Linked DNA regions of Sus scrofa. The protein of the gene in region 1 purifies or fractionates together with the protein of each later gene. This does not show direct contact. Links are inferred from orthologs where the notes say so. Each region holds a gene or a part of one and is shown in the gene's direction. Other genes may lie near its edges.

The links.
Region 2: the proteins of CDYL (region 1) and HDAC1 purify together in Homo sapiens (affinity purification with mass spectrometry; 6 studies listed by BioGRID and IntAct, counting the BioPlex papers as one, with this or other methods). This does not show direct contact. The link is inferred for Sus scrofa from reciprocal best matches to the Homo sapiens genes CDYL and HDAC1.

What each region holds. Positions count from the first base shown.
Region 1 is NC_010449.5:2,950,391-2,954,044, forward strand, and holds part of CDYL (chromodomain Y-like protein), read left to right. Parts: intron 1-1,595; coding exon 1,596-1,852; intron 1,853-3,184; coding exon 3,185-3,357; intron 3,358-3,654.
Region 2 is NC_010448.4:88,780,492-88,783,200, forward strand, and holds part of HDAC1 (histone deacetylase 1), read left to right. Parts: intron 1-1,257; coding exon 1,258-1,366; intron 1,367-1,447; coding exon 1,448-1,588; intron 1,589-2,627; coding exon 2,628-2,709. UniProt on the Homo sapiens protein: Histone deacetylase that catalyzes the deacetylation of lysine residues on the N-terminal part of the core histones (H2A, H2B, H3 and H4).

The sequences.
Region 1 (3,654 bases):
CGTCCATGTTGAGTCCTGCTCAGGACAGGGGAACGAGGGCACCCAAGGGACAGCCCAGGCGAGGCTGTGACGGGCGCGCCAACAGAGGGCAGCGCTGGGAAGCGCCGCGCGGAGGGTGTAGCCGAGCCGGGAACGCAGTGCGGGGTCTGGTGGCGGAGAGGCTGGAGGTTGAAAGGAAGAGGGGTCCTTGCCAGACCCCTCGGAAAGAGGCGGCGGCGCCCCGTCTCGCGGGTAAGGACGCCCTTTCCCTTAGAAACACCCCGGGCGCGTGGCCCTAAAAAGACCCAGCAAAGCCCCAGGGTCGTTGCGCCCGCCGCGCAGGAGCCAGCGTGTTTCTGCGGCGCTGATGCGGCCTCCCTCGCGCGTCGTCTGCCCAGTGCGGGCTCCTCTCTGGCTCCGCAGGAACCGTCTCTGACTCAGTTCCCTGGCTCTCCCTCCGAGGACCCCCGCCTTGCCTCTGAGGAGAGCGGGGTCCGGCGCTTTCATTTCCGGCCCTCAGCTCCCCTCGCAGCCTCTGCGCTTCGTTCCCGTTGGATGATATTCCGACGTGCGCAGGAGGGCAGTGAGTTGCCGCAACACCTGACCTCGTACCCTGGCGTTTCTTGGTAACGCGGGGAAAGTGTTCAGCAAAACCCTTGACCTGGTGGTTGCGCGAGACGCTAGGTTCAGGAGGCTGTGCCCTTGAGGCTGATGGAAGCCCAGCAGCCAGGCTGGCGCTGTGGAGCTGACCCAGCGGGGGCGCTAGCGGGGCATCCTCGGTGGCGGGCGAGGGCGCTGTTTGCAGATGCGGAAGGAGGACCGCCGGACAGAGGTCGAGGCGTCCAGAGAAAGACCCCGAGTGTCTGGAGTGGCCTCGGGCGGGGTGGGGGTGCCCGCCCATCATGTGTCTGAAAAGCGGCTCTTCATTCAGAAGAAATTTTGGCCAAATGGCAGATAGCCTCGGCTCTAATATTAAGATGTTTATTGATCAATTTCCTTCTTTTCTTTCAGCCTGTCCTATGTGGAACATGTGCTTTTCACGAGACCCCTTCTCTTTGAATTCCATTCTTTAAAACTCTCAAATGTGGCAGCTTCTTTTCATTACATGCCTTTTCATCATTATTTTATTAGCAAAGAGAAGGAAAAGGGCAAGTTCCTTGTCAGACTTTGAAGGAAAACAAATGCCTTGACCTGGAGGGTTTGGCCTGTTGGTTTTTTGACTTTTGGCTGCATCTATGACGTGTATAACTGCCTGGGCCAGGGACTGAACTCGCGCCACAACAGTGACAACGCTGGGTCCTTAACCCCCTGCGCCACCAGGGGATGCTGGAGTCTACATTTAAAGGCATTTACTGGCGTTCCCGGGTAACTCAGCCGGTGGAAGATCCAGCATTGTCGCTGCTGTGGCACGGGCTCAGTCCCTGGCCCGGGAAGTTTCGAATGCCACAAGTGCAGCCGGTAAAAAAGTAGACTCTCAGAAGGTTCTCGTTTTTAGCATTCTTAAGTCAGTACAGTTGATCCTGGGTCTGTCATGAGCGTTTTACCTAATTCACAGGCGGCACTGGGGGGCAAGTTGGTGGCAGGACCTCAGGACGCTGTGGCTGTCGCCTTGGCAGGTACCTCTCCGTTCATGGACGTGCTGACGGCCAATGGGCCAACCAGCCTACAGCCGTCGGTCACAGGCGTGACAGCCGGGAAGAGGAAGTTCATTGACGACAGACGAGACCAGCCTTTCGACAAGCGGCTGCGCTTCAGCGTGAGGCAGACGGAGAGCGCCTACAGGTACCGAGACATCGTCGTCCGGAAGCAGGACGGCTTCACCCACATCCTGCTGTCCACCAAGTCGTCGGAGAACAACTCACTCAACCCGGAGGTGAGCAGGGGCCTCGGGGCTGCCCCGCCGGCCGGGTCCCTGGGGCTGGAGCCAGGGGAGCGCAGCAGGTGTACAGCTGCCTGCACAAGGGCGGCCGGGCCCCCTGTGCTCCCGCCTCCAGGTCGGCAGCCGTCCATCGGGGCAGGGGGCTCTCTGACATCACGCGTGAGCTGTGTGCACCAGCCGTCCCGTCACTCTCGTCGGCGTCCCCAGGAGCTGTTCAGACAGGAGTCACACGCCCCAGCCCAGCCCCTTAGAAAACCTCACCGCCCTTCCCAGTCAGTCCCCAGCATTCCTTGGACGGGAACTTCCGGCCGAGGTGGTTCCGTTCCCATCGTGCTGGTAAAGGCAGCCCCCGAGACCGAGAGAGACCGGTGCTTGCAGAGCTTCAAAACCTGGTTCTGGGACGTCCCTCGGGTCGGAAGCGTTTGGACCTGCACCGTGTCAGGCCTGTAGCCTGTTAAGTTCCGGTCTCTCTCCCACTTGTGAGCACCCAGGTCGACCTTTTTCCAGACGAGAAAACCAAACCGCAGACAGCCAGTGTGTCTGGCCAGGGTTCCAGGACAAACCGGTTCAGGGCTGGTCCTCAGTAAGTTGTTACACTGCAGGGCACTTTGACTGCCTGTTTCTAAGTACTTCAACAGAGACTGTGTGTGTGTGTGTGAGCTTTTTATGGCTCATCCGCAGCAAATGGAGGTTCCCAGGTGGGGGGGTCAAATCAGAGCTGCAGCTGCCAGCCTGCCCCCACAGCCACGGCAACGCCGGATCCTTAACCCACTGAGCAAGGCCAGGCCAGGTTTCAAACCTGCAGCCTCGTGGATACTAGTCGGGTTCATTACCACCAAGCCACGTGGGGAACTCCATAGAGGCCATTTTAAAGGCTTGTCCCTCAGTCAAACACCACTCCACGCTGACGGGCTCCTACTCGCCACACGATGCCCCACGCTGGGCTTTCAGTCCCCAGTTGGGAGGCTGGTGTCAGACAAACAAAACAGAGCTGAACTAGCAGTTTCTTAGAACTGGATGCCTGTGCCATCTGCTGTCCAAACTGTAGAAATGCCAAGGGACTGTAATCCGTGACTCGCCTCCCAGAGCCGCCAGGTCTAGGCTGTTCAGGTTAGTTAGACGGACACGTCTGTCCTAACGAGTTTCGTGATGACACGCAGCCCCCGAGAGCCCCAGCCCCTGGCTTCACAGCACACGGACCTAGCGGGTCCCTGTAAGTGGTGGTCGATGGAGGCAGGGCCCCAAGGTGCTCTCCGAGGCTCCAGGTGCCCGGTGGGGGGGGGCCCGCAGGCTTCCCCGCAGCCCCGCGACCCCCCTGCCTTCCAGGTGATGAAGGAGGTGCAGAGTGCCCTGAGCACGGCGGCGGCCGACGACAGCAAGCTGGTGCTGCTCAGCGCTGTGGGCAGCGTCTTCTGCTGCGGCCTTGACTTCATCTACTTCATCCGGCGGCTGACCGACGACAGGAAGAGAGAGAGCACGAAGATGGCCGAGGCCATCAGGTATGCACCCCGGCCCGCCGCGACCCTCCCCTGCCGGGCCAGCTTGCTCGGGCCCGTGGACCCTCCCTCCGCTGAGAGGCTGGGAGCGAAGGTACCCAGTCTCCCGTTCTTCTGGGGGCCCCTGGCCTGGAGCCGAGGCCCGATCACAGGGCTGGCCCGTCCCAGCCTCAGGGAAGGTCCCGGTGGTCAGAGGGCACAGTGGCACGTGGCCAGAGTTTCCAGCATCTGTGCGTTCTGTTCTGGCCCTGGAACAAAGGTGCACTCTCTTTCACCTAATAGCTTGCCATTTGCTTGACT
Region 2 (2,709 bases), on another chromosome or scaffold:
GAGAGAAACTGCTTCCTGAGCTGAGGAAAGGGTATTCACAGGGGTGGTGATGTTTGAGTGGACATTGAGAAATGAGTTGCCCAGGTGAAGGAGGGTGGGGCCTGGAGGGGAAGGGTGGCATTCAGCAGAGGGAAGCACACCAGCAGCAGCACAGTGGTGCCAGTATGTAGTATGTGGGCCAGCATGACGTGGGGGATGAATGCTGAAGTATGTGGTAGGAAATATTTGTTGGGGTATTTCAAAGGGAAAGGGAACCTTGAATGCCTTGCTGAGTAGTTAAATCGTCACCTATAAGCAACAAGGAACCAACCATTACTAGAGTTGTAACCTAATAAGGTAGTCATTTAGCAAATACCAAGTGCCTACTATGTGCCTTGTAGTAAGAGCGACAAAAAAGCCTGAATTCTCTCTGAGGAAGTCTGTGTCCTCAGTTACATTAGAATCTAGTGTTGGAGTTCCCGTCCTGGTTCAGTGGTTAATGAATCTGACCAGGAAGCATGAGGTTGTGGGTTCGATCCCTGGCCTTGCTCAGTGGGTTAAGGATCTGGCATTGCCTTGAGCTGTGGTGTAGGTCGCAGACGCGGCTCAGATCTGGCATTGCTGTGGCTGTGGTGTAGGTTGGCAGCTACAGCTCCGATTGGATCCCTAGCCTGCGAACCTCCATATGCTGTGGGAGAGGCCCTAGAAAAGGCAAAAAGACCAAAAAGAAAAGAATCTAGTGTGAGCGGAGTTCCCTTGTGGCACAGCAGGTTAAGGATCCTGTGTTGTCACTGTAGCAGCTTGGGCTGCTGCTGTGGTATGGGTTTGATCTCAGGAAGTTTCACATGCCATGGGCGTGGTCCCCCCAAAAAAAGTGTGAGAATGAGATGTAAAAAGTAATAGACTCCTCACAGTATCAGGCTCAAAGTCTGTAGGACCAAAAGCATAGAGCACATGCAACTAAAGGTCAGAAAGGCTTCTTGGAACAAGTGATACTGGAGCTTAGAGCAGCAAAAGGGAAAGATTTGGGGGTTGATAAGGAGGCCATTTTCGGCTCAGTATTGTTAGAGCTGGAAGGCTCTTAGAGATCCGTTCAAATTGGAGGGCTGAACACAGTGGGAAATGAGAAACCCAGGCTGGTCCTCCCTTCTCTCTACCACCCAGCATGAGGAGGAGTGGGTGATGAGTAACAGAAGATAGTGCTGCACCCCCACTTTTCAGTCTGAACTTCGAATAGCTTTTCTTGAGGCTCAGCGTGACCAGGATGTGTCCTTTCAGGTCATGTCCAAAGTAATGGAGATGTTCCAGCCTAGTGCGGTCGTCTTACAGTGTGGCTCTGACTCCCTGTCTGGGGATCGGTTAGGTTGCTTCAATTTGACCATCAAAGGTGAGACCAGGTAGCATAGGGACGGATGGGCAGGGTCCTGCTGGGTGCTCCTGTAACTTGGCACCCCTTCTCCCACTAAAGGGCACGCCAAGTGTGTGGAGTTTGTGAAGAGCTTCAACCTACCTATGTTGATGCTGGGAGGAGGTGGCTACACCATTCGTAATGTCGCCCGGTGCTGGACATATGAAACAGCTGTGGCCCTGGACACGGAGATCCCTAATGGTAATAGCTCCAGGGCCAGATTGGGCTGGGAGTGCTGGAGCGTGTGTGTCCTGAAGTTCACAGCCCCATTCTCATTGGCCATACAACCTCTCCTCTTCTGACTTGATTCTCCTGCTGTCCTCTTGTGATTTCCAGACCATAGCTGTCAATTTTTCTGGGTCTTGACCCTATGCTTTCTCCCCTTTGCTTCTGGTCTGGACAGAATTACCAGCAGTTGTATATGCTTTTGGAATTAATACTCTATAGGGTAACTGGGATAGTTAAGTGAAGGAGTGATCACAATGAGTTATTGCCTAAATTTTTCTTTTTTTCTTTTTAGGGCCACACTCCTGACATATTGAAGTTCCCAGGTTAGGGGGTGAATCAGAGATTCAGCTGCCGGCCTACACCACAGCCACAGCAATGCAGGATCTGAGTTGCATCTGTGACCTATACCACAGCTCCACAGCTCGCGGCAGTGCCAGATCCTTAACACACACACACACATACACACACTCTCTCTCTCTGCAGGATCTGAGCTGCATCTGTGACCTATACCACAGCTCGCGGCAGTGCCACATCCTTAACACACACACACACACACACACACACACACACACCACTCCCCCTCCAGTGCCACATCCTTAACACACCCACACACACACACACACACACACACACACACACACACACACACACACACACACACACACACACACACACACACACCACTCCCCCTCCAGTGGACACTGGAGAGTCGCTTTTAAAAAACTGAAATCCTGGAGTTAAGGATCTGGCATTGCTGTAGCTGTGGTATAGGTTACAGGTGTGGCTTGGATTCAGTCCCTGGGTTGGAAACTTCCATATGCCAAGGGGTTGTAGCCAAAAAAGAAAAAAAAAATTAAAAATTGAAATCCTATAGGTACCCAAGTCTCACCCTATCTTGGAGGCACGCTTCTTTGATAGTTGGGCTGACAGGTCCAGATAAACCTATAGATGCTTTTCTCAGGGTCCCATGGTCACCAGATCTCTTGACTCTCTCACCCCCTGCCCCAATTAGAGCTTCCGTACAACGACTGCTTTGAATACTTCGGACCAGATTTCAAACTTCACATCAGTCCTTCCAATATGACTAACCAGAA